Macaca mulatta: one gene and its partners. The protein of the gene in region 3 purifies or fractionates together with the protein of the main gene of each other region. This does not show direct contact. Links are inferred from orthologs where the notes say so. Each region holds a gene or a part of one and is shown on either strand. Other genes may lie near its edges. The genes, in order: PRP4K, ZGPAT, PRPF4, GPHN, TUT1, SNU13 and MEPCE.

Region 1 (3,500 bases), on a different chromosome or scaffold from region 3:
GACGAGGTTTCCCCATGTTGGCCAGGCTGTTCTCGAACTCTTGACCTCAAGTGATCGCCTGCCTTGGTCTCCCAAAATGTTGGAATTACAGGCATGAGCCACTGTGCCTGGCCCGTTTACATTTTTTAACTGGTCTTTGAGATTGCGCGTGTGGGCGAGCAGATTAAATAAGAGTTTCCTCAGATGACCCTATCAAGAAAGCACTACCAAGAAGTAAGCACTGCAGATCTGAGTCAAAGTCTACCTTGCTCATTTTGGCTGGATCAGAGAAAGATTCTTGGGTTCTGTATACTGTGCTGAAACATGCAAGACAGGTTGTGTTTTTAGGTTTTTATTAAATGAGGAAGGCTGGGTGCAATGGCTCACGCCTGTAGTCCAGCGCTTTGGGGAGGCTGGGACAGGTGGATCACCTGAGGTCGGGAGTTCGAGACCAGCTTGACCGACATGGAGAAATCCTGTCTCTACTAAAAATACAAAATTAGCTGGGTGTGATGGCTCATGCCTGTAATCCCAGCTACTCGAGGCTGAGGCAGGAGAATCGCTTGAAGCTGGGAGATGGAGGTTGCAGTGAGCCGAGATCACACCATTGCACTACAGCCTGGACAACAAGAACTAAACTCCGTCTCAAAAAATAATAATAAATTAGGAAAATACTGTAATGTTATTATTTGATTATGTAGACAAACCTATTTACAGTCTGACTGTTCAGATTAAATAGTTGTGTCCAAACCTGGAATAACATTAAGAAATGTTCAAAACCTGTTTTGAAAAATTAAGCTGTAGAAAGGCCTGTTGTAATACAAATATCACATTAAACGAGTAAAACTCACTGAAAGGTACTTCTGTGATAAGTATTGAAAAGTTGGGTTTTTGTGGGGTTTTTTGGGGAGGCTGGAGGCAAGGTCACACTCTTGTCATCCAGGCTGGAGTGCAGTGGCATTATCTCTGCTCACTGCAGCTTCTGCCTCCCAGACTCACGCCATCCTCCCACTTGAGCCTCCCTAGTAGTTGGGACTATCTTCACATGCCACCACACTTGTCTAATTTTTATATTTTTTGTAGAGATAGGGTTTCGCCATGTTACCCAGGCTGGTCTCAAACTCCTGAGCTTAAGTGATCCGTCTGCCTCAGCTTCCCAAAGTGCTGGGATTACGAGTGTGAGCCACCACACCTAGCTATTGTTTTTGGTTTTTTGAGACAAGTTCTCACTCTGTCACTTGGGCTGCAATGGCACAAACACAGCTACTGCAGCCTCAACCTCGTGGGCTCAGGTGATCCTCCCTCAGCCTCTGAAAGTGCTGGGATTACAAGTGTGAACCACTGTGCCTGGCCTATTATACTTGACATTAAAAATAAGATTTTTGGCCAGGCATGGTGGCTCACGCCTGTAACCTCAGCACTTTTGGAGGCCAAGGGAGAACCACTTGAGGCCAGGAGTTCGAGACCAACCTGGGCAACACAGCGAGACCCCCATCACTACAAAACAAAATTAGTCAGGTGTGGTGGCATACCCTTAACGGTTCCAGCTACTCAGGGCGGGCTGAAATGGAAGGATTGCCTGAGCCTGGGAGGTCAAGGCTGCAGTGACCCATGTTCGCGCCACTGCACTCCAGTCTAGGTGACAGAGTTAGACCCTGTCTCAAAAAAAAAAAAAAAAAGAAGAGATCCTTAATTGGAGAAATGTCAAAATGTAGAAAGAAAAAGTCTTCAATGGAAATGGGATATTTGAGTAAATGGAATATTATACTCACGTGGGCAGGTTTTATTTGGGTTGTTTATTTGAAATTAGAATCAGTAACTTTACTGGTATGAATAACCTTTAGTAATTCTTCAAATTGTGGGACCAGAGGAAATAAGACCTTTCATTGTTTGCCTGCAATAACACTAAAATGTCATTGTGGCCATCTGAGTAAGTTTTGTTACAAAACACATTAATTAGAGTTCACTCTCTTTAGGCTAGTGTGCCTTTTCTTACAGATATTCCTTGCATATAGAAAAAAAATCATTTACTTTGATTTATTTTTCTTTTAACTTGCATTTGATCCCCTTAAGAACACGACCTCGAGATGATATCCTCAGTAGACGTGAAAGATCAAAAGATGCCAGCCCCATCAATAGATGGTCTCCAACCCGAAGAAGAAGTAGGTCTCCCATTAGAAGGAGGTCTCGTTCCCCACTCAGACGTAGCAGGTCTCCAAGAAGAAGAAGCAGGTCTCCTCGGAGAAGGTAAAGACATTTCATCCTTGTGATTCATTAAACTCTGAATGTTTTTAAACCACCCATGAGCTCAGTTGGTAGGTTTTCTTTTGACCAGTTTTCTCTGAAAAATCGTAGTTGTGTTCCCAGTTTCCTTTTACCAGCAGTCTTTACACGTGGGTTTTCTTTTATATCGTTTCCTTTGAATTTTAACCAAATCATTACTCATTTAAGATGCAATAAAATTAATCTTTTAAGAGTAGGACTTTTTTCTCTCTTTTATGAGAGATAAATATTAAATGAGCCAGGCTTAGGGATTTTTTTTTTTTTTAACTGGCAAGGTAGATCATATAGTAGTAAATATGTAGTCCAGTTTCTTATCATTTTATATTAATTTTGCATATTGATAGTTACTGTAGACTTTGGCCAAGGCCTATTTAATTTGCCATAGAAACCACTTTATCTGAAGCATATGTAATCAGTAGTAGGTTAAAAAGGTGGTTTATAAAGCAGGGAATCATTTTTTAAAATTCATACATACATGAAATATTTTGATATAAAACATAAATGGGTATTTGTTCGCCCATCTTTTAACATTTTTAATTGAAGTAATAAATGAATGTAATTCTTAAAAAACAAAGGCTTATATTGTAGTCATCTCTACATATCTCTCAGAATTTTTGTATGCTGTATTCCTAGAAGTGGAAATGCATGGTCTGAGTACACTCTGGACAATGAGGGGTTTTATTTATTTGTTTTTTTTTTAGACAAAGTCTCACTCTGTTGCCCAGGCTGGAGTGCAATGGCGCAATCTCACTGCAACCTCCACCTCCCGAGTTCAAGCAATTCTTCTGCCTCAGCCTCTCAAGTAGCTGGGACTACAGAGGTGCGCGTGCCACCATGCCCGGCTAAATTTTTTTTTTTTTTTTTTGTATTTTTTTAAATAGAGGTGGAGTTTCACCATGTTGGTCAGGCTGGTCTCAAACTCCTGACCCCAAGTGATCCGCCCGTCTCTGCCTCCTGAAGTGCGGGGATTAGAAGCATGAGCTGCTGCACGCAGCCACAATGAGGGTTTTTAATACCCCCCCTCACCCATGTTTCTCTTTTGCCTATTTTCATCACACGTTTTTGTTCTTCTAGAGTCAGTATAATCATTGTGATCATGTATGTATTCATTGCTGGGCAAATAGTTGGGGGAGGAGGGCAGAGAGGACCTGCCTTCTGAGACGGCTAGTCTGCTGGCTCCAAGCTCATCTTACGACTTGCTTTTTTCTCTCTCCCCTTTTTATAAAAAATTTCTTGTG
Region 2 (2,359 bases), on a different chromosome or scaffold from region 3:
TGTACAGTAGGCCCTTGTGTGAGTGTGTGTGAGACTGTGTGTACATGTGCGTACATGTGTAAAGTGTACAGTAGGCCCGTGTGAGTGTGAGAGACTGTGTGCATGTGCATACGTGTGTAAAGTGTACAGTTGACCCTTGGTATGTGTGTGTGTGTGACTGTGTGTGTGTGTATGTGTGCATGTGCATACATGTGTAAAGTGTACAGTAGGCCCTTTGTGTGTGAGAGAGACTGTATGTGTGCATGTGCATACGTGTGTAAAGTGTACAGTTGGCCCTTGGTATCCGCGGGTTCCATAACCATCAATTCAACCAATCTCCAGTCGAAAATAATTGGGGAAGAAAAGGATGGCTGCGTCTGTACACTGTATAACAACTATTTACATGGCGTTTACATTGTATCAGGTACTGCAAGTACTCTAGGGATGATTTAAAGTATATGGGAGGATGTGCATAGGTTGTATGCAAATATTGTGTCATTGTATCTAAGGGACTTGAGCATCCTCGGGTTTTAGTGTCCACAGGGGGTTTCCTACAGATACCAAGAGACTACTGTATGTGTGTGTGCAAGTGTGAGTGTGTATGCATGTATGTGCATATGTGCATGTCATGTGTGTGTACGTATGTGCATATGTGCATGTCGTGTGTGCATGTGTGCTTGTATGCATATGTGCATGTTGTGTGTGTGCATGTGTGTGTATATGCGTGTATGGGTGTATATGTTAGTACATGTGACAGTGCGTGTGTGCGCATGTGTGTGGGTGACTGCATGTGTGGGTGAGGGCACGTTTGTGCGCGTGTGTGTGCATGTGTGTGCTCGTGTGGGTGAGTGCATGTGCACACGTGTGTGAGAGAGCGTGTGTGTGCGCGCATGTGTGTGGGTGAGAGTGCATGTGCACGTGTGTGAGCAGGCGTGTGTGTGCGCGCATGTGCGTGGGTGAGAGGGTGCTTGTGTATATCCATGTATGACTGCATATGTATTTGCATGAGTGTGTGTGTGAGTGCATGTTTATAAATGTGTGAGGGTCTGTGTGTATGTGTATGACTACATGTTTATGTGTTATATGCATGTGTGTATGTGTGTACATGTGTATGTGCATGCGTATATGTGTATGTGTGTGCATGCGTGTATGCATGTGTGAGTGTATGTGTATGTGTGTATATGCATGTGTATGTGTGTACGTGTGTATATGCATGTGTGCGCCTGTGTATGTACGTGTATGCATGTGTTAGTGCGTGTGCATGTGTGTACGAGTATGTGTACATGTGTGTATGTGCATGTATGTGTATATGTGTGCGTGTGTGTGTGTATACATGCATGTGTCTGGCTCCCTCAGGATGGTGCCCAGGTGGATGGGTCAGTGCTCCTGGGTTTATTTGCCCCTGGTGGCCCATGTCTGAGCCCTGCCCCCTATGGCTCTGTCTGCAGGTTCTCCCATGGGCAGGTGGTCCCTCTGGATGAGCTGCGCCCCTTCCAGGACCCAGACCTGAGCTCCCTGCAGGCCGGCTCTGCGTGTCTGGCCAAGCACCAGGATGGCCTCTGGCATGCGGCGCGCATCACCGGTGAGGCTGGCCGTGGAGGCCTTCCGGGAACACCCTCCCAGGCTCCACACGTGTTATTACTGCGTGGCTGCTCCCTGCCTCCTTTGGGATGAGTGTTGGGACTCTGGCTCTGGGCCCGAAATGAGCACATCTACCCTCAGCCTCTGCCCTGCCTTGCTCCTGATGTCCAGGGTGGTTCCCCATCAGTGGCAGCTGCTGTCAAGGATGCTGACCTGCAGCTTGTCTCTGCCTCTAGATGTGGACAATGGCTACTACACAGTCAAGTTTGACTCGCTGCTGCTGAGGGAGGCCGTGGTGGAGGGGGACGGCATCCTGCCCCCACTGCGCACAGAGGCCACAGAGTCCGACTCAGACAGCGATGGCACAGGTGACTCCAGCTATGCCAGAGGTATGGCAGCAGCTGTGGAACCCAGGAGCCAGGAAGGTGGGGTCACCCTGAGAGGCTCCTGGCTTTTGAGGGCACCGACCGTCTAACCAAACTATTGGAGAGAGTGGCCACAGCGAGGGCGCCAGCCGTGCCTGGGGAGGCCGTGTGGGGCAGGGGTACAGGAGTGCGAGTGAAGGGCCGGGGTAGATCCGTGGTGGCCTTTGTCTTCAAGGAGCGTGGGTACAACAACTACAGTCTCACTGATGGGAGGCCATGGTCATGGCTGTGGCCATGGGAGAGGAGGCGCCCGGAGTTGCCAAGGAAGTCACAGAAAATGAACAACCGATGAGGCCTGGAGTGCAAGAGGGGCAGCTCCTCTGCATGGCTTCTCAAACTTGGGACCTGGGTGCCTGGTGGATCCTGGCAGACAG
Region 3 (3,500 bases):
TAATTTTTTATTTTTGGTAGAGACAGGGTTTCACCATGTTGGCCAGGCTGGTCTTGAACTCCTGACGTCAAGTGATCTTCCTGCCTCGGCCTCCCAAAGTGCTGGGATTATAGGCATGAGGCACCGCACCCAGTCATATTTGCCTTTAAATTACAATTGATCTGAAATTTCAGAGTTACAAATTACCAGAAAACAAGGATTTTCACTTTTGTCCAATGCTACAGGTATGTAAGTCTCCCTTCCTGGTTCTGTAAGTTCAGAGAGGCTAGAATCTGCTAGAGAACTTTTTCATTAAGCTGTAATTTACATACAATGGAATGGATTTATTTTGTGTACAAAGCTATCATTCTTTACAAATGTGTACCATTCCTGTGACCCACACCCCTGTCAATGTAGAGAACAGTCCCATCACCCCAGAAAGGTCCCTCATGCCCTTTTCCAGCCAACTCCCCTTCTGAAGCAACTGCTGATCTGACTTCTATCACCATAAATTAATTACGTCTATTCATACTGTGTGAATTCATTTGTGGCAGGCTTCTTTCTCTCAGCATAACATTGTTAAGAGTCATTCATGTTGTTGCATGTATCAGTAATTCCTTTTTATTGCTGGGGGTTGTTCATTTTTATGACTGTGCCATAGTTTATCCATTCTCCTGTTGATGGACACTTGGGCTGTTTCCAGGTTTGGGCCAGTCGGAATGAAGCTGCTATAAATATTCTTGTACCAGGCTTTTTGTGGACATGAGTACAAATTGCTGGGTCATAGGGTAGAGGTATTAGACGTATATTTAACTTTTTCTAAACTCCCCACCAGTTTTCCAAAACGGTTACACCATTTTACATTCCCGGAGTTCTGGTTACTTCACATCCCTGTTAACATTTGGTATTGTCAGACTTACCATTTTGCCCAATCTAGCAGGTGTGTAGTGATCTCCCATGATTTTCATTCTTATTACCCTGATCACTGTTGCTCTTGAGTGCCCTGTCATATGCTTTGCCTGTTTTTTTTAATTGAGTTTGTCTCTTTTGTCTTTATTTCCATGTGCATAGTCAGTTACACCACTGTGTACTGAAGAGACTTTCCTTTCTCTGTTGGAAATGTTTCAGTACCCTTGTTGAAAATCATCTGACCATGTATGTGTGGTTATTTCTGTACTTCCTATTCTCTTCCGTTGATCTATTTGTCTGTGAGTGATTTTTGTATTCCCAACATCCATTTTAGGGCCTAGTAAATGTATAAATGCTTGATAAATGAAAGAGCATAACAGTGGAAGAAGGAAGAAGGCAACACAGTCTTTGCTGGGCCATTCTTGGGGAATCCTGTTAAAATAGCCGCTAGGTTGGGCACGGTGGCTCACACCTGTAATCCCAGCACTTTGGGAGAACAAGGTAGGTGGATCACCTGAGCTCAGGAGTTCGAGACCAGCCTGGCCAACATAGTGAAATCCCATCTCTACGAAAAATACAAAAATTAGCTGGGCATGGTGGTGCACACCTGTAGTCCCAGCTACGTAGAAGGCTGAGGCAGGAGGATGACTTGAACCCAGGAAGTGGAGCTGGCAGTGAGCCGAGATTGCGCCACTGTACTCCAGGCTGGGCAACAGAGTGAGACTCTGTCTCAAAAATAAATAAATAAATAAATAGGCACTAGAGGTTTATAGCGAGTCCATGGTTTTCAGTCAGCACCTAAGGCAGATAAGCTTAGTTGTTGAGTCATTGTTTATGTCAGAAAGGAGCTTCCTGTTAATATGGTTATATGAATAGTTTCAGAAGCATTAATAACAAGCTATAATGACTTACAATACTTTATATGTTGTAGAAACTGGATAAATACCAGCTGGTTGATTGTTAGTGTGATTTGGTTTTAGCTATGACCGTTCATGGCGATTATGGGATTTGGAGGCTCAAGAGGAGATCCTGCATCAGGAAGGCCACAGCATGGGTGTGTATGACATTGCCTTCCATCAAGATGGCTCTTTGGCTGGCACTGGGTAAGGCTTCTCCCATGTAGCCAGGGGCAGCTCAGTACTCTCACCTCTTATGTATGCGTGCTTCCACAGAGAACTGGATTCAAAGTGTTCATTTATAAATTATTTTATCAGGGGACTGGATGCATTTGGTCGAGTTTGGGACCTACGCACAGGACGTTGTATCATGTTCTTAGAAGGCCACCTGAAAGAAATCTATGGAATAAATTTCTCCCCCAATGGGTAAAATAAACACACTGAATGAGGGGTGAAAAAGGGTTCTGGGTCAGAAAGTACTCTATTTCTAACTTCAGTACTGCATCCGATCCACAGCTATCATATTGCAACCGGCAGTGGTGACAACACCTGCAAAGTGTGGGACCTTCGACAGCGGCGTTGCGTCTACACCATCCCTGCTCATCAGAACTTAGTGACTGGTGTGAAGTTTGAGCGTAAGCTTTCCTCCTATTTTAGATCTAAATGACACAGACAAACAGTATTGTGTTCCCGTGCAATACAGGCCAGACTTTAGCTTAAACTGAGAAGTAGAACAGGAGAGAATTTGACCTACTGGTAAAGGAGCAAATTATAATTTCCTTCCCCCTGCCATACCCTTAGATCTGTGGGAAAGCATGCTTCTCGTTGCTGGAAGTAAAGACTTTCATGAGTGCTTTGCTTCATTCTTTCCCCCATGGATGCTCTGAGCACTGAATTCTAAATATTATTCTGAACAGATTTACAGTCAGGGAATGAGCCAGAGGACCTTACTGTTATTTGTTCCCTTAAGTCTGCCTTGGGTTATCCCCTTTACCTGGAGGCCTAGTAGGAAGACAGAATCAATGTTGACTTTTTCTGAATGTAGAAATAAGTTTTTTAAAAATAGTATGTTTTTGCAGACTTTTGTGCTTTTGTTGTCTTCTCTTTTGAATACCTGAATTCCTCAAGCAATTCCCCTTCTCTTCTGTAGCTATCCATGGGAACTTCTTGCTTACGGGTGCCTATGATAACACAGCCAAGATCTGGACGCACCCAGGCTGGTCCCCGCTGAAGACTCTGGCCGGCCATGAAGGCAAAGTGATGGGCCTAGATATTTCTTCCGATGGGCAGCTCATAGCCACTTGCTCATATGATAGGACCTTCAAGCTCTGGATGGCTGAATAGATGACAGTGGAGAAAGGACTTGAACCTCAAGCTCTTTCTAAGGAGCTGTTTTCCTCAAAAGAGAAGAATTGAAATGTTTAGTTCTATCATGTTTTCTGCCAATTACCATGCGTAGACCCTCACTAGAATTGGATTTCCATGTCAGCCCCCACTCCAGGCAGGCGGCCCAATCCCTAGGTAATGGTGAACCCATCTCATGGTTGAAAATTTATTACCTTTTTATGCCCTGCCATGAACTGTGTAGACATTGTTTTTATTAATCTTTTGTTTGGCCAGGCATGGTGGTTCATGCCTGTAATCCTAGCACTTTGGGAGGCTGAGTTGGGCAGATCACTGGAGCTCAGAAGTCCAAGACTAGCCTGAGCAACATGG
Region 4 (4,288 bases), on a different chromosome or scaffold from region 3:
CCCTCTAGCCTGGCGACAGAGCGAGACTCCGGATTAAAAAACAAAACAATCAAAGTGACTTTGAAATTTGTGTATAAACACTGATATTATACATTTTTCACTTTGCTTTTCACTTTTATGCCTCCAGGTTTACTACAGCTAAGAAGAAAAAATATATACATATGAGTGTGTGTATACACACACACACACACACGCATATAACTTTTTAAAATTCAGAAGCTGAAAGGTCCAGAAAGATAGTAAGAAACTAACGTAGAACAGCCACAGGTGATTAATAACACGTTTCATGAAAGGCACATGGAAATAAATGGCAACAAAAGCTATTTTCATGGTAATCTCACATCCCACGAATACTGAAATGAGAATCGTTGCGGCAATGGACTGTGATTCAGGTGGAACACGTTCTCGTTCGCTAAGGAGATAGATGCTTTTCACCTAAAAGCAGCTCTCACGGCGAAGAGGCTTAAGGCCATAAAACCGTGGGACAGCAGGAGGAAGAGAAGCCAGGTGTCTCCACTCCAGTTGCCCTGCCTCAGACTCCTAAGCTTCGCATGTGAGGATCGTCTTGTAGGCACTGACTGGAGATGGAATCCTAAAACACAGGTGAAGCGGAAATCTTCCTTCAGGGAGAGCCGACTGAGGAAGCCAGCGGCTAACACTGGGCGGGACAGGATACCTCCCTCTTCGCCCACGGCAGGCTCTCTATCATAGTAGCCGTCGTTCTGCCACTCAAACGCAGCTTTTTAAGGCACCTCTAGGTTCGCCAGCGCCTTCAGTGGGGCGGCCGGCCGCTCCCGAGGGCTGCAAGACGCGGCCCGGCGTGCTGAGCCAGTGTCGCTCCTCCCGCGGTCCCCTCAGAAGGCCGGCCCGCCGGCTACAGTCTTCCGAAGGCGCGGACAACCGACGAGGTGTCAGGCTCGGCAGGGGATTGCTTCTGTCTGGGGCCCGGCCGAGGTTGCGTTCCTGCCTAGCGCGCACACGCTCCGCGTTCACTCAGCCAATCCCGCGCTACTCGCGCACCCAGGAGCGATCCGCGGTCCTACTCAGGCTGGGCCCGCTCCTTCCCGCTCCTTCCCGCTCCCAGTACTCAGCACCCGAGCTCTCACTCCTCCCCTCACTCTCCACGAGTTCCACGCCTCAGGGTGTAGCTCCGCCCCTGTCCCCGAGTCCGCCCCCGCAACCTCCAGAGCGTGTGCTCTCCTTTCCTCTCAGTCCTGCCATCTAGCTGCCTTGGGTCTCGCGCTCCGCAGAGCGGCCCGAGCCTCTCCAGCCTCGTTCCGCCGCCTCCGCGCGCTCTCCCCGTGCGGCCACCGACCCCTCCAGCTCGCCTCCTTCCTGCCGGGCTTGGGGTCGCGCGCCCTGACTCCGCCCCCTCCCGCGGACCCGTGCACTCCCGGCGCGGCCTCTCCCCCACGCAGGCCACCGAGCACTCTACGGCCTCCCACTCCTTCCCCGCTCTCCTCGCGCTTCCCTGGCTCCCTAGCTCTCGCGCTCTCCGCGGCGAGCGCGCTCCCGGCCCGCGCGCTCCGGGCTCCAATTTCTCCCGGCTCCTGTCAGTGCGGTGACTGCGCTGGGAAACATGGCGACCGAGGGAATGATCCTTACTAACCACGACCATCAAATCCGTGTCGGAGTCCTTACAGGTAACCGGGGGAGGAGGTGCGGGACCTATGAGGCTGCAGTCCCTGACTTGCCTTAGGCTTTTCGCCTGTGGTGGCCCTTCTCTGCGGCCTCGGGAGGAGGGAAGGCTGAAGAAGGGAACCGCGGGGGTGCATTTTACAACCGCTGAGAACCGCCAGAGATTGGGGGTGTTCCCGCGGGTCCCTTTCCCCAGCCCGCCGGAGCCGTGGTCGACCCCGTGGGATGTCAGGCCCCAGCGCCTTCGGAAACAAAGTCCTGGGCCCCCGGGGACCGAGGGGCCGGTGCGGAGGGCGCTGCGGGATCCTTGCTGTCGGTGCAGGCGGCGGGATCCCGGCTCCGCAGTCTGAAGCATGCCGCTCTCGGCTGGCCCGGACGCATCCTCCGTTAGTGCTCTTCTGAGAGAGGGGGGAATCCCATCTCCACCCCCTTCCTCCCTTTCCCTTCCCCCAACCCGGGCGGCCCCACGCCAGTAGCTGTGCTTGCCCGGACGCGACTCAGGTGTTAATCAGATGAAACTGCTTCTCCTCGGGTTGTCCCTCGCGGGCCGGGCATCCCCTCAGCCACCCATGGGGCACCCTTCGCCTCCTTCGGGGGATGGGGGATCGGCTTGATCCGGACCTCAGAAAGTGTCTGCCTTCTGCCTTACCGAGCAAAGGGCCCTCTGCCTCGTCGTTTCCTTAGCGAGGACGGGCTGCAGCTTGCGGCCGGGGGATCCAGCTCTTTTTACTTGAGAGGGCAGGATTCCCCTACTCGGGCTCCTCTCCCCCTCCTTTCTGGGAACCCCCACCCCGGTGGAGCGTCCCGAGGCTGGTGAGGAGCGCACTTTTCCCGGGTCGCGTTTCCCTCCCTCGCGAAAGCCGTGTGTGCTCTGCATGTCTGATTCCGTTGCGCTGAATGTGGTTAATATCCGTCACTTCGGCGATCGGCAGTTGCTGCAGGGCATGACTTCCAAGATGAACGCCAAGCCGATTTGTAGGGGTTTCTGCTGTGGTTCTGTAGTTGGCAAGGTTTATGTGTAATTGAGTGGCGAGGCGGGGGTTAAAGAACTATATTTGGAATCTGAGGGCTTAGTTTGGAGTGAAGGAAGCTCAAGACTCAGTGATGTGATTTCGGAAAAAGAAGCAATGTGTACGGGAATCCTAGTGTTTCCCTTACTTCTTTTAAAAAAATTTTTTTTAACTGCCAAATTCTGACAGGTCGAGACGGTGCTCGAGAAGGGACTAAATTGAATAAGACTTGCTTTTATTATTAGGTAGAAAAAAAAGGTCTGAGGCTGCCGGCAGATACTGAGTGCAAAGCTTAATTTAGTTGCTGAATTTTATGAAAAGGTGATATCCAAAGCCTCCTTTTCTCTCTTTTAAGTAAAGGATTGCCTTTCCCTGGTATTGTTTCCGTATATCGATGGTGATTAATTGAATTTTCCTAATCAAAAGATCCTTTGGTAGTGAAACTAGTCTAAACCAATTGCAGAAAAGGGAACCCCCAAATCAGAAAGGTACGCGGTTCTCTTCTTTTGATCCTGAAACTGTTTGGTTATGTGAAGATTCAGTTGTATTTCAGAATTCCTGGAACTGACATTGCCAATTTTCGAATAATCTGATGATGGGATGTGAAAGTGTATATCCTTTATCTACCCTCAACTTGCACTTTAAATTCTAGCCATTCTTTAACAATTAATAGAGTAGTGAGAAACCAAAATATGTCAGTTGTCTGTGGAAATAAAAAAGGCCGTAGATGTTTAAAAGTTAAACTGTAGAACTATTTTTAAAATGAACATTTCTGCTTAAGCTTTCCATTAAATAATAGTTTCATTTAACGAATCATCTTAGCTTTGTGAAGTGACATAGCAGGTAGGTGTTGTACAGACTGCTTTGAAAGATGCAGACCTTATCTCGTGTCCCTACAGTCTGATATGGATAACATTGATAGGCAAACAACTCAAGAAACATTGCATGTAATTATTGTGCAAAACTTTTCTAAATACATTTTCTATGAGTTTGGGGTTAACTGCAAAAGAAATTCCATATTCAGATGGATTAGGAGCAAATATGACTACCTGAAGGGAGAATTTAATACATTTGCTAGAGTCAAGAAGAAACTGGCAATTTTAAGGGGAGTTGAAAGTCAGCTGCCACTTTATAAATAAATATGTAGTTGATGGTGAGGCTCCTGAGCAGAATAAAAATGTAATATAAAGGCCTTGGAAAGCTCAAGTGGAATAGGTAGGTGGCATAGGTAAAATGTCAGAGAGAAGATAACATTAACATTGACAGTGGAATTAAAGACAATCAGGGGAAGCTATTATGAGAATGAGGTACAGTAGTCCAGGGCCAGGAAGAAGGATGTAGCTGAAGGAATGAAAAGGCAGCTACAGATTTGGAAAAAGTGGTAATAGAGGAAAGTAGGTTTTGATGGTAACATGTATATTTGAAGTCAGAAATAACTTACGCTTTTTCTTGAAAAGTTATTGATACAGATATTGTCTACTGTGATGGAGAGGAAAGAAAACTGATTTTTCTCAAGTCTGTAACTAGTGGGTTTCATTATCAACAGCTTAATTTCTGTGGTCTTGCCTGATACATGATTTTGAGGAAAGAACTTACAAAAATGAAGCTGTGCTATGCAAATTTGTGTATTCTAGAACTTC
Region 5 (3,500 bases), on a different chromosome or scaffold from region 3:
GGCCTTTGCTCCCCTGCGTCTATATCCCCAGTCCTCCCTCCGCTGGAAGTGTTTGGTTGCTTTTCCATCTTTGTGCTCCCTTTTGTTCTTCCTCCCCCTGCTCCTCCCTAACTTCTCTTGACCTTTCTTCTCTGCTTGGCACCCAGGCTGTGTGGTCCACCCTTTTGGCTCTTCCATAAATAGCTTCGATGTCCATGGCTGTGATCTTGACCTCTTCTTGGATCTGGGTGACTTGGAAGAGCCCCAGGTGAGTGAGTGCCCCAGGGAGGCAGCTGGGAAGAGTCCATGAGAATGGCCATGTGACTGTGGGCAAGTCCTTTAGCTCTCCATGCCTTAGTTCCTCATCTACAATGCAGATAATAGGACCTACCTGAAAGGATTTATTGTAATTGGAGAGATGTGAATATGGATGAGTATTAGATGGGATGAAAATGAACTGACAGGGCCAGGCAAGGTGGCTCACACCTATAATCCCAGCACTTTGGGAGGCTGAGGTTGGCGGATCACCTGAGGTCAGGAGTTCAAGACCTGTCTGGCCAACATATAGCGAAACCCCGTCTCTACTAAAAACAAAATACACTGGGCATGGTGGTGTGCACCTGTAGTTCCAGCTACTTGGGAGGCTAAAGCAGGAGAATCACCTTGAATGCAGGAGGCAGAGGTTGCAGTGAGCCAAGATTGCACCACTGCACTACAACCTGGGTGACAGAGGGAGACTCCTCCTCAAAAAAAAAAAAAAAAAAAAGAAAGAAAAAATGAATTGACATGGATACCTGGCAGTCGTAACAAAAAAAATTTTCAAAATGGTGTGTACAATATGATTTTATTTTGGAAAAAATATATTAAAAATTATACAATAAGGTCCTTTTAGTTTTGCTCTGTGTATTTTCTTTCTTTCTTTTTTTTTTGTTTTTTTGAGACACAGTCTAACTCTGTCACCCAAGCTGGAGTACAGTGCTGTGATCTCTACTCACTGCAACCTCCACCTTCTGGGTTCAAGTGATTCTCGTGCCTCAGTCTCCCAAGTAGCTCGGAATACAGGCACACACCACCATGCCTGGCTAATTTTCTGTATTTTTAGTAGAGATGGGGTTTCTCCATGTAGGCCAGGCTGGTCTTGGACTCTTGGCCTAAAGTGATCCACCCACCTTGGCCTCCCAAAGTGTTGGGATTACAGGAATGAGCTACCATGCCCGGCCACTTACCTGTGTTTTCTATTTTTTTTTTTTTTTTTTTTTGAGACGGAGTCTCGCTCTGTCGCCCAGGCTGGAGTGCAGTGGCCGGATCTCGGCTCACTGCAAGCTCCGCCTCCCGGGTTCACGCCATTCTCCTGCCTCAGCCTCCCGAGTAGCTGGGACTACAGGCGCCCACAACCGTGCCCGGCTAATTTTTTGTATTTTTAGTAGAGACGGGGTTTTACCGTGGTCTCGATCTCCTGACCTTGTGATCCGCCCGCCTCGGCCTCCCAAAGTGCTGGGATTATAGGCGTGAGCCACCGCGCCCGGCACCTGTATTTTCTAACATCTAATGTACAGATTCTGTTTTAGGAATAGAAAAAGATAATTATTATTACTTAGAAATAGGGTCTCACTATGTTGCCCAGGCTGGTCTTGAACTCCTAGGCTCAAGGAATCCTCCTGCCTCATTCTCCCAAATTGCTGGGATTACAGGTATAAGCCCGCATGCCCAGCCTATTATTATTTTCAAAAAATAGACTTGGCGGGGCGCAGTGGTTCACGCCTGTGTGATCCCAGCACTTTGGAAGGCCAAGGCAGGTGGATCACCTGAGGTCAGGAATTTGAGACCAGCCTGGCTAACATGGTGAAACGCCGTCTCTACTAAAAATAGAAAAATCAGCCGGGAATGGTGGCGTTCGCCTGTAATCCCAGCTACTCCGGAGGCTGAGGCAGGAGAGACAGCTTGAACCCGGGAGGCGGAGGTTGCAGTGAACCAAGATCGTGCCACTGCACTCCAGCCTGGATGACAGATTGAGACTCCATCTCAAAAAAAAAAAAAAGACTTTATTTTTTAGAGCAGTGTTAGATTCACAGCAAAAGTGAGCAGAAAGTAGAGTTCCTATATGCCTGCTGCCCCCGCAACAGGAGTTTTTAAATGTTTTATCATTCTTTTTGTCGTTCTCTACACACTTTCTTTATTTGTATTTTCTGAATCATCTGAGAGGTTGCATGTATCACATTCCTTTACCCCTCAATATTTCAATGTGTGTTATGCAAGAACAAAGGTATTCTAGTGTATAACCACAGTACCATTGTCAAGTTGAGAAAATGTTACATTGATACAAATGTAAACCTTTAGACTTTACATTCCATACTCTAATTTGGTCAGCTGTCCTGACAATGGACTGTTATGGTTTCTGTTTAGTCTTCTTTAGTTTGTAATAGTTCCTCTGTTTTTGTCTTTCGCGATAATGACATTTTTTGCAGAGGTAGACCTTTTATTTTATAGAATTAAAAGGTTATCTTTAAAAAAAAAGGTTGGTGTGAAGATTAAATGAGTTAATATGTATAAAGCCCTTAGCATAGAGCTGAATAAGCTGGAAGTGATATTATCTTGGGGATAGAGATGTTCTCTGCTTAGGGGACAGCAGAAGCATTTCACTCAGCTCATTTCTGTCCACAGCCAGTCCCAAAGGCTCCAGAATCTCCATCGCTGGACTCGGCCCTGGCTTCGCCACTGGACCCTCAAGCCCTGGCCTGCACCCCAGCCTCCCCTCCAGATTCACAATCTCCAGCTTCTCCCCAGGATTCTGAAGCCCTGGACTTTGAAACCCCTTCCTCCTCCCTGGCACCCCAAACTCCAGACTCTGCCTTGGCCTCTGAGACCCTTGCTTCTCCCCAGTCTCTGCCTCCAGCCTCACCACTGCTGGAGGATAGGGGAGAGGGGGACCTGGGGAAGGCCCTGGAACTAGCAGAGGCCCCAAAGCGGGAGAAAGCAGAAGGGGCAGCAATGCTGGAGCTGGTGGGATCCATTCTCCGGGGCTGTGTCCCTGGGGTGTATCGAGTCCAAACTGTGCCCTCCGCCCGGCGCCCTGTGGTCAAGTTCTGTCATCGGCCTTCAGGTCTCCACGGTGACATCTCCCTCAGTAACCGGTATCTTTCTTTTTTTCTTTTTTTTGAGACAACATTTTGCTCTTGTTGCCCAGGCTGGAGTGCAATGGCACCATCTTGGCTCACTGCAACCTCCGCCTCCCGGGTTCAAGTGATTCTCCTGCCTCAGCCTCCCAAGTAGCTGGAATTACAGGCATGCGCCACCATGCCCGGCTAATTTTGTATTTTTAGTAGAGACGGGGTTCCTCCACGTTGGTTAGGCTGGTCTCGAACTCCCAACCTCAGGTGATCCGCCTGCCTCGGCCTCCCAGAGTGCTGGCATTACAGGCGTGAGGCACCATACTTTTCTTTGGGGCAGGCCGGCTGAGAATTCTGGGGTGCGCCAGGAGGGAGTCTGGCTTGGGAAACTCCTGCACCTGCCAAGTCTCAAGT
Region 6 (4,126 bases), on a different chromosome or scaffold from region 3:
GCTGATGCCCCATCCTCAACTCTGACCCTGGTGCCAGGGCTGGCTAGCATGCTCTTGGTGCAGGTAAGGACAGTATTGGGGAATTGCTCAAAAGTAATTAAGAGGAAGAACTTGTTTTAAACAACCCCATCCTCTGGAATGAAGAGATTAAGTTCCCTGAATGTGTGATGGGGTTATATAACCTGCAGTCTGCTTGATTTCTTTCTTCCTATGAGATACTTGGATCTGCCTGTCCTTCTATCTATTATCAAACATTTAATAAACACTGTATTGAATACAGGTATTATTGTTTAACCACTCAGCATCCCTTTCTCGTTGCTTGCAGTATCCTGATTTCCCATGGGGTAATTACTTTTCCCATCTTAGGATCAGTGTTGGTGGGAAAATAAATGCTACCCTGAAGACTCTTTTACCCAAAGGTTCTATTCAAAATAAATATCTGAGCAGGCAGGGACGTCAGCCAATCATAATGAGCCAGGACTTAACCGTTTAGTGGCTGAATTTTTTTTTTTTTCAGACCGAGTTTTGCTCTTGTTGCCCAGGCTGGAGTGCAATGGCGCAATCTCTGCTCACTGCAACTTCCGCCTCCCAGGTTCAAGCGATTCTCCCGCCTCAATCTGCCGAGTAGCTGGGATTACAGGCATGCGCCACCACCCTCGGCTAATTTTATATTTTTAGTAGAGACAGGGGTTTCTCCGTGTTGGTCAGGCTGGTCTCGAACTCTCAACCTCAGGTGATCCGCTCGCCTCAGCTTCCCAAAGTGCTGGGATCACAAGCGTGAGCCACCGCGCCCGGCCTTGTTTTGTTTTGTTTTGTTTTGTTTTGTTTTTTTGGTCTTTGAGTCTTGCTCTGTTGCCCCAGCAGGAGTGCTGGAGTGCAGTGGCACGATCTCAGCTCACTGCAGCCTCCACCTCCGGGGTTCAAGCGATTCTCCTGCTTCAGCCTCCCAAGTAGCTGAGTTTGCAGGCGCCCGCCACCACGCCTGGCTAATTTTTGTATTTTTAGTAGAGACGGGGTTTCGCCATGTTGGCCAGGCTGGTCTTGAACTCCTGTCCTCAAGTGATCCGCCCGCCTCGGCCTCCCAAAGTGCTAGGATTACAGGCATAAGCCACTGCGACCGACTGGTGGGTTATTTTTTGAATCTTTAATTCATTGTTTCTGCCAATAATTTGTACTGGACAGCTCATAAGAACGCCAAAGTACGTTCCTTCATCAACACAGAGCCAGTTTCCGCGCCAGTGCCCCGTAGGGGGCGGGGCCCGCTAGCTCGCTTGCGTAGCGTCATCTTTGCTTCCTGCCGCGCGGGGCCGTTTCCGCTGCTGCTTCAGTGAGTTTTTCCGGTGGAGGCGAACGCTGCTCAGAAGTCGGCTGCGCTCTCCTAGAAGTGCCGAGCCCGCGGAACAGCAGCCATGGTGAGTGCGTGCGCCGGCCAAGGGACCGGGAAGCAGGAGACTCGGGGTTGCGTTCACTCCCTGGCCTGTTAGATGAAGGCTTAGACCCTGCGCCGTCTCATCCGCCGGCGCTGGGTCTTAACCGCCGGGCCCTGAGTTAGAACTCCAGCAGCCGCGGGTTCCCAACAGCCTGGCCCGAGGTTAGAACTCGAGGTTAGAACTCAGGAAACCTCAGGGATCCCCGCTGCTGTGGTGCTTTGCCGCACGATCTGTTTGCGTGGCAGAAGGTCTGCGGCGAGCGGAGGGGGCATGGCCTAGCGGGAGAAAGAGACCAACCCACGTGGGAGAGGGCAAAAAGTTGGGTGAAGAAAATTTGGCTCCAACTTTTTTTTCCCCTTGTTTCTTTAAGTACGAAATCTACGATGGCGTGGGACCCTGGGATTCGGATCAACCTCTCCTACCCACCCTACCTCACCCCACCCCCGTTGCTGGGGTCCAGGAGATCTCCTGTGGGTGTGCGCCTAGTGCTCGCCGCGAGTCACACGCGCCAGGGACCTAGAGGAGACTTTGGCAATTGGGGGCTGTGGGGAACATGAAGTGAGCGCGACTCACGGCCTGGAGCGCAGGAAGGGCTTCTCCCGCAAGGTGGTGGCTTCAAAACCCAGAAGTCTGGTAGCACCACGTGCGGCGTCTCTGAATTCTTGGTCGTCTCTGACTTTTAAATATCTAGGGAAAGTTCTAAAACGTGTGTCCTGGCGTAGTCGTTTTGGTTGGCACTTGGTGAGGAGGGAAGAATTTGCAAAGCACTGTAACGTTTATAGTTAATCCTTCCAGCGGAGCTTGGATCCCGGCGGTAGCACTCCCCCCAAACCTCCTCCCATGCATTTTGAAGCTTAGTGCGTGGCTGAGCCTAGAACTCGAAGCTTTCAAACTCAGTGCTCGCTTTTATGCAGTTCCCTGAAACGTTTTGGAATCGGATGGTCTCAGGTTGAACTTTGCAGTTTTCCTCAACTGTAAAATGGGAATGACAGTGCATCAGGATGTTGTGAGGATCAGATGAAATAAAGCATGTTAAACATCTAGTCCTCATGCTTGGCACAGAGTGAGCACGCAGTATTTGTTGTCCAATCAAAACCTTGCAAGTTTTGGCTGTCTGGTGTACAGGGAAACCAAACTGATCACGCTAGGTACGGATTTAGGTTGGCTGGTGGTATGCTATCATTCATTAATTTATTTAACCTCTGAAGAAATTGAAAGGCGAATAAATACACCCTAAGCAAGTTTCAATTAGTGTTTATAAGCTAGGTAGTTTGGTTTTAAAATTGAGTTTAACTTTTTGTTTACTAATAGTGAAACATTTAGGTATTTGATGGCTGTTCAGATTCCTGAAGTTTTCCTCTTATGAATTTGATATTTATTGAGAGTTGAGGATCCTGATTTCCAGAGAATGGGTTGTTGGAAACAACAGCAATTTTAAAAGTTTTTTTAAATTGACATATCATAGTTGTATGTACTTTGGGGGTTCCACATAATATTTTTAAGTATATCTATTTTAAAATGTGGGACAGGGCCAGGCACGGTGCCTCATGCCTGTAATCCCAGCACTTTGGGAGGCCAAGGCGGGTGGATTATGGGGTCAGGAGTTCAAGACCTGCCTGGCCAACATAGTGAAACCCTGTCTACTAAAAATACAAAAAAATTAGCCAGGCGTGGTGGCGGGCACCTGTAATCCCAGCTCTTTGGGAGGCTGAGGCAAGGAGAATCGCTTGAACCTGGGAGGCAGAGGTTGCAGTGAGCCAAGATCGCGCCACTGCACTTCAGCCCGGGTGACAGTGTGAGACTCCGTCTCAAAAAATATAAATAAATAAAATAAAAGGTGATAAATTATTAACCAAAATTTCCAGCCGGGTACGGTGGCTCACACCTGTAATCCCAGCACTTTGGGAGGCCGAGGTGGGCGGATCATGAGGTCAAGAGTTCAAGACCAGCATGACCAACATGGTGAAACCCCATCTCTACTAAAAATACAAAAATTAGGCGGGCATGGCGGTGCATACCTGTAATCCCAGCTACTTAGGAGGCTGAGGCAGAAGAATCACTATATCCGGGGAGGCCGTGGTTGCAGTGAGCTGACATCGTGCCACTGCACTACAGCCTGGGTGACAAAGCAAGACTCTGTCCCAAAAAAAAAATAAAATCCCTACTGTAGTATCAAATAAAACATATTTGTATGGCCGGATGTGGTGGCTCACACCTTTAATCCCAGCACTTTGGGAGGCCGAGGCAGGTGGATCTCGACTCACTGAAACCTCTGTCTCCCGGGTTCAAGCGATTCTCCTGTCTCAGCCTCCCAAGTAGCTGGGATTACAGGCACGCACCACCACGCCCAGCTATTTTTTGTTTTTGTTTTTTAATAGAGACAGGGTTTTGCTGTGTTGGTCAGGCTGGTCTCAAACTCCTGACCTCAAGTAATCTGCCTGCCTCGGCCTCCCAAAGAGCTGGGATTACAGGCGTGAGCCACCGTACTCAACCTAAACAATTTTTTTTTTAATTAGCCAGGTGTTGGCCGGGTGCGGTGGCTCACGCCTGTAATCTCAGCACTTTGGGAGGCCGAGGCGGGCGAATCACAAGGTCAGGAGTTGTAGACCAGCCTGGCCAACACGGCAAAACCCTGTCTCTATACTAATAATACAAAATTTAGCCTGGCATGGTGGCGCATGCCTGTAATCCCAGCT
Region 7 (4,279 bases), on a different chromosome or scaffold from region 3:
CTACCTTCAGGAGCAAGGAGGACCTAAAGGCGAGGTGCAAAACCAGCTGGCGCAGCGACTCCGCAAGCCTCTCACACCTCAACCCAGGTTTCCCGCCACCAAGAAAAGGCACGAGGACGTCGGGCGCGCTAGCTCCACCCCCGGGAGGCGCGCTCGCGGAGTCTGAGGCGCATGCGCAACTGGAAACAGCGTCTGCGTTTCCGCGGCTGAGGTAATTCCGCCATCTTTCACCCGAACGTCCCGGGAAAACTACAAATCCCAGAATCCTCTTTGGTGTCACATATTTTTAGGCGGCGGCCGCAGCGCCTGATTGTTCTTGAAGCACATCTTACTAACTTTTCTCTGTTTCAGATTGCCTTTTCCTCCCTCTTTCCGTTCCCTGATTCCTCCTCTTCCTGCTGGTCTCCTTCACGCCCTCACTTTAGGATTTTATTTGAGACTTTCCGGGACCCCACTGTCACCCCTGTCACCCGCTCCTCGGCCCAGCACTCCGCTGGCAGGAAGACCGGGCTGCGAATCTCCCCGGGAAAACGCCGTAGATTCGCTTCTTCCTCATTGGCCGAAGCGGGGGGGGGGGCCCAGCGCGGACCGAACCCCCGTCCCCGCCCACACTCTCTGGTATATAAGTCGGCGCGGCGCCGCGGCGGGCGTTTGGGGAGGCCCGTGAGCTGACGGGCCAGTGAGCGGGCGTCGGGAATGGGCGGAGGCGTTGGGGTCCGGGCCGTGGGTGTGGAGGCGGAGAGGAAGGCGTGGTGTGGCGTCTCCAGGTGATTGCGATTGGGGGAAGGCAGAGGAACCAGAGAACGACTCAGCCGTTTCGGGGGAAGAGGAAGTTGGACAACACCGGCTGTTTTAGTGCTTTTTCTTTTTCCCCAATTCAGCAGAGAATATTTTCGAGGGGGGTGAGTTATAATGACCTATCGCGTTTTACTGAGCCCAGTTCCACTCCTGCCCTTCCTCGGCTTTGTAGGGTCTCTCTGCTCCTTCGGAAGCGCTTCTAAGAAGATGGGCAGAGGGGGGAGGTGTGCTACCAACAGCTCATGAATAATTCATGAGCACCGCCCTTCGTCGGGAAGCCCTGCCCCTCCGGATCGCGCTGACGCACGCTGCGTTTACCAAACTTAAGGAAGCGACGTCACAGGCCCTACCCCTAAGACGGGAGGCGGGGCGCCACCTCCAGCACGTGCTGCCTGTACCCGCGCAAGCCCAAAAGGGTGTGCGCAGGCGCTGCCCACTAGGGGGAGGAAGGAGGCGGGGTGGGGAGGTTGTTGGATTTAGAGCCGGGTGGAGACCGCTGAGACTCATTCCTCAGGAACAAGGGTCGGGTGTCAAGGAGACCTTTTCACACCAGGTCCCGTCCCCCGCCTACGGTGGGTGGGATCGCGCGGCAGAGACAAAGGAGATCAGTAGGGCCGGACCTAGCTGCGCAGGGAAGTAGGGTGTCAGTTTGGGGTGGTGGGCTTTTGCGGGGGCTGTGTGGGGGGTTATATTTAAACTCCCAGAGCCGTTAAGTTGGTTCGTACTCCGATGCGCGCGCAACCAGGGTGGTGGCGGAGTGCGCATGCGTGGTTCCGGGGCGAAGGGAACGCGCGCTTGCCGTGCGCGCTCGCGGCGGGGTGGTAGTGGCGGAGGAGAAAGGGGTCGGCGCACGCGCGGTTGAGTGCTCGAGTAGTTCGGGTGTCGCGGGCATCTTGTTTTGGTCTCGCGGGCGAGTGGGGCGCACTTCGCGGGGAGGCGCTTGGGCGCGAGACTAGGCGAGAAGAGCAGAGCTGCGCGCGCACTCGGGAAAGGGGGGGAAGGGAGCAGGGTCCAGGCAGGGGGGGTTAAGCCCCCTGATCCCCCTCGTTACCCCGACTGGGACGGAATAAGGGGAGGAAATGATCGAGATGGCGGCGGAGAAGGAGCCGTTTCTGGTGCCGGCCCCGCCGCCGCCGCTCAAAGATGAGTCGGGCGGAGGGGGCGGCCCCACTGTGCCACCGCACCAAGAGGCCGCCTCTGGGGAGCTCTGCGGCGGGACGGAGCGTGGTCCGGGTCCTTGCGCGCCGTCTGCGGGGTCCCCGGCCGCTGGGGTCGGTCGAGAGAGCCCCGGGGCCGCGGCCACCCCCCCCGGTGGTCCCCAGGCGCAGCAGCACCGAGGAGGCGGCCCCCAGGCGCAGTCGCACGGGGAGGCCCGCCTGTCGGATCCCCCGGGGCGAGCCGCTCCCCCGGACGTGGGGGAGGAGCGCCGGGGAGGGGGCGGGACAGAGCTGGGTCCCCCTGCTCCTCCTCGACCCCGCAATGGCTATCAGCCCCACCGGCCACCTGGGGGGGGCGGGGGCAAGAGGAGAAATAGCTGTAATGTAGGGGGAGGTGGGGGAGGCTTTAAACATCCGGCCTTCAAGAGGCGCAGGCGGGTGAATTCGGACTGTGACTCTGTGTTACCCTCCAACTTCCTCCTGGGGGGCAATATCTTTGATCCCCTGAACCTGAATAGCCTCCTGGATGAGGAAGTGAGCCGCGCCCTCAACGCAGAGACCCCTAAGTCATCCCCCCTTCCGGCCAAAGGGCGAGATCCAGTGGAGATCCTCATCCCCAAAGATATTACTGACCCGCTCAGTCTCAATACTTGCACTGATGAGGGCCATGTAGTTCTTGCTTCGCCACTCAAGACTGGTCGGAAGCGGCATAGACACCGGGGACAGCACCACCAGCAGCAGCAGGCAGCCGGAGGGAGTGAGAGCCACCCCGTGCTGCCCACAGCCCCTCTCACCCCCTCACTCCACGGGGAGGGCGCCTCACAGCAGCCGCGGCACAGAGGCCAGAACCGGGATGCCCCCCAACCCTATGAACTCAACACAGCCATCAACTGCAGGGATGAAGTGGTGTCTCCGCTTCCATCTGCTCTACAGGGTCCCTCAGGCTCCCTATCAGCCCCTCCAGCTGCCTCAGTTACCTCTGCACCCCCATCTTCCTCCTCCCGACATCGCAAACGTCGCAGGACTTCCAGCAAGTCGGAGGCAGGGGCTAGGGGTGGAGGCCAGGGTTCCAAGGAAAAGGGCCGAGGGAGTTGGGGAGGCCGTCACCACCACCACCACCCACTGCCTGCAGCAGGCTTCAAAAAGCAACAGCGCAAGTTCCAGTATGGGAATTACTGCAAATACTATGGGTACCGCAATCCTTCCTGTGAGGATGGGCGCCTTCGGGTGTTGAAGCCTGAGTGGTTTCGGGGCCGGGACGTCCTAGATCTGGGCTGCAATGTGGGCCATCTGACCCTGAGCATTGCCTGCAAGTGGGGCCCGTCCCGCATGGTGGGCTTGGATATAGATTCCCGGCTCATCCATTCTGCCCGTCAGAACATCCGACACTACCTTTCCGAGGAGCTGCGTCTCCCACCCCAGACTGTGGAAGGGGACCCGGGGGCAGAGGGTGAGGAAGGGACCACCACCGTTCGAAAGAGGAGCTGCTTCCCAGCCTCGCTGACTGCCAGCCGGGGTCCCATCGCTGCCCCCCAAGTGCCCTTGGATGGAGCGGACACATCAGTCTTCCCCAACAATGTTGTCTTCGTCACGGTAAGAGGGTCCAGAGGCTCTTGGAATAGGGGTCAGGTGTGAAGATGAGATTAAACGGGAATGTGGCAGGGAAGGTTATGACCCAGTTCCTCAAAAGAGAGGTCTGGGTTGGCAAGTGAGAGTCTCTGCTGGGCATCTCTCCCCTCTTATAACCTGGAAAGGTGGGGTCTCTACCTTGGGGCATTGACCCTGGAGTCCTTTCTCATGACTGCAAGGATCTCCAAGATAAAGGAAGACTCTCTTTTTTTTTTTTTGCAGTGCTCTGGGCTTGGCCTATAATCCACACTGGTCCACCTTCCCTTCCCTTGAAGGCTGCTGCTCACTAGGGAATTCGATCCAGGTGGAACTTGGTCCTCAGGTTGACTGAAGGAGCCTGAGATGGGGGTCGGGCATGGAATGTCTTCTAGGGAGATTAGGGTAGCAGCAGACTAATATTGGCGTTTCTGCCCTTTGATAGCCACCTTGCTCCCATCAGCAGCTTTTGTTTTTCTAGACAGTTTGTGAAGAGTGTCAGGAACCCAAGTGACTTGGCTGTAGATCCTCTCCACATTGACCCTAGATAATGGGAGAGGGAAGAACCAGAAACTCCTCTGCAGAGAGGAGAGCCCCATGCCCCACGGAGTCCCCTGACCCCACACAGCTCCCCAGAGAACTCTCCAGTTAGGCCGCCTGCTGGGATCTTTGGCATTGCATTGGGTTAAGCCTTGAAGAATGGTCTTTTTAGAGGGTTG

The links.
Region 1: the proteins of PRPF4 (region 3) and PRP4K purify together in Homo sapiens (affinity purification with mass spectrometry; 3 studies listed by BioGRID and IntAct, with this or other methods). This does not show direct contact. The link is inferred for Macaca mulatta from reciprocal best matches to the Homo sapiens genes PRPF4 and PRP4K.
Region 2: the proteins of PRPF4 (region 3) and ZGPAT purify together in Homo sapiens (affinity purification with mass spectrometry; 4 studies listed by BioGRID and IntAct, counting the BioPlex papers as one, with this or other methods). This does not show direct contact. The link is inferred for Macaca mulatta from reciprocal best matches to the Homo sapiens genes PRPF4 and ZGPAT.
Region 4: the proteins of PRPF4 (region 3) and GPHN purify together in Homo sapiens (affinity purification with mass spectrometry; 3 studies listed by BioGRID and IntAct, counting the BioPlex papers as one, with this or other methods). This does not show direct contact. The link is inferred for Macaca mulatta from reciprocal best matches to the Homo sapiens genes PRPF4 and GPHN.
Region 5: the proteins of PRPF4 (region 3) and TUT1 purify together in Homo sapiens (co-immunoprecipitation; 3 studies listed by BioGRID and IntAct, counting the BioPlex papers as one, with this or other methods). This does not show direct contact. The link is inferred for Macaca mulatta from reciprocal best matches to the Homo sapiens genes PRPF4 and TUT1.
Region 6: the proteins of PRPF4 (region 3) and SNU13 purify together in Homo sapiens (affinity purification with mass spectrometry; 4 studies listed by BioGRID and IntAct, counting the BioPlex papers as one, with this or other methods). This does not show direct contact. The link is inferred for Macaca mulatta from reciprocal best matches to the Homo sapiens genes PRPF4 and SNU13.
Region 7: the proteins of PRPF4 (region 3) and MEPCE purify together in Homo sapiens (affinity purification with mass spectrometry; 4 studies listed by BioGRID and IntAct, with this or other methods). This does not show direct contact. The link is inferred for Macaca mulatta from reciprocal best matches to the Homo sapiens genes PRPF4 and MEPCE.

The regions. Positions count from the first base shown.
Region 1 is NC_133409.1:179,203,391-179,206,890, reverse strand, and holds part of PRP4K (serine/threonine-protein kinase PRP4 homolog), read left to right. Parts: intron 1-2,052; coding exon 2,053-2,226; intron 2,227-3,500. UniProt on the Homo sapiens protein: Serine/threonine kinase involved in spliceosomal assembly as well as mitosis and signaling regulation. Connects chromatin mediated regulation of transcription and pre-mRNA splicing.
Region 2 is NC_133415.1:116,592,814-116,595,172, forward strand, and holds part of ZGPAT (zinc finger CCCH-type with G patch domain-containing protein), read left to right. Parts: intron 1-1,427; coding exon 1,428-1,561; intron 1,562-1,773; exon of another isoform or gene 1,774-1,796; coding exon 1,797-1,949; exon of another isoform or gene 1,950-2,359. UniProt on the Homo sapiens protein: Transcription repressor that specifically binds the 5'-GGAG[GA]A[GA]A-3' consensus sequence. Represses transcription by recruiting the chromatin multiprotein complex NuRD to target promoters.
Region 3 is NC_133420.1:45,022,425-45,025,924, reverse strand, and holds the end of PRPF4 (U4/U6 small nuclear ribonucleoprotein Prp4), read left to right. Parts: intron 1-1,868; coding exon 1,869-1,991; intron 1,992-2,102; coding exon 2,103-2,210; intron 2,211-2,300; coding exon 2,301-2,419; intron 2,420-2,934; coding exon 2,935-3,128; 3' UTR 3,129-3,429; downstream 3,430-3,500. UniProt on the Homo sapiens protein: Plays a role in pre-mRNA splicing as component of the U4/U6-U5 tri-snRNP complex that is involved in spliceosome assembly, and as component of the precatalytic spliceosome (spliceosome B complex).
Region 4 is NC_133412.1:139,613,026-139,617,313, forward strand, and holds the start of GPHN (gephyrin), read left to right. Parts: upstream 1-1,488; 5' UTR 1,489-1,579; coding exon 1,580-1,643; intron 1,644-1,694; coding exon of another isoform or gene 1,695-1,993; exon of another isoform or gene 1,994-4,288. Other genes in the region: uncharacterized protein LOC144330299, read right to left, coding at 1,695-1,993. UniProt on the Homo sapiens protein: Microtubule-associated protein involved in membrane protein-cytoskeleton interactions. It is thought to anchor the inhibitory glycine receptor (GLYR) to subsynaptic microtubules.
Region 5 is NC_133419.1:11,486,117-11,489,616, forward strand, and holds part of TUT1 (speckle targeted PIP5K1A-regulated poly(A) polymerase), read left to right. Parts: intron 1-146; coding exon 147-247; intron 248-2,434; exon of another isoform or gene 2,435-2,640; coding exon 2,641-3,110; exon of another isoform or gene 3,111-3,164; intron 3,165-3,500. UniProt on the Homo sapiens protein: Poly(A) polymerase that creates the 3'-poly(A) tail of specific pre-mRNAs. Localizes to nuclear speckles together with PIP5K1A and mediates polyadenylation of a select set of mRNAs, such as HMOX1.
Region 6 is NC_133415.1:9,821,489-9,825,614, forward strand, and holds the start of SNU13 (NHP2-like protein 1), read left to right. Parts: upstream 1-1,326; 5' UTR 1,327-1,409; coding exon of another isoform or gene 1,410-1,412; exon of another isoform or gene 1,413-3,100; intron 3,101-3,428; exon of another isoform or gene 3,429-3,678; intron 3,679-4,126.
Region 7 is NC_133408.1:47,626,440-47,630,718, forward strand, and holds the start of MEPCE (7SK snRNA methylphosphate capping enzyme), read left to right. Parts: upstream 1-1,479; 5' UTR 1,480-1,877; coding exon 1,878-3,548; intron 3,549-3,806; exon of another isoform or gene 3,807-3,888; intron 3,889-4,279. UniProt on the Homo sapiens protein: S-adenosyl-L-methionine-dependent methyltransferase that adds a methylphosphate cap at the 5'-end of 7SK snRNA (7SK RNA), leading to stabilize it.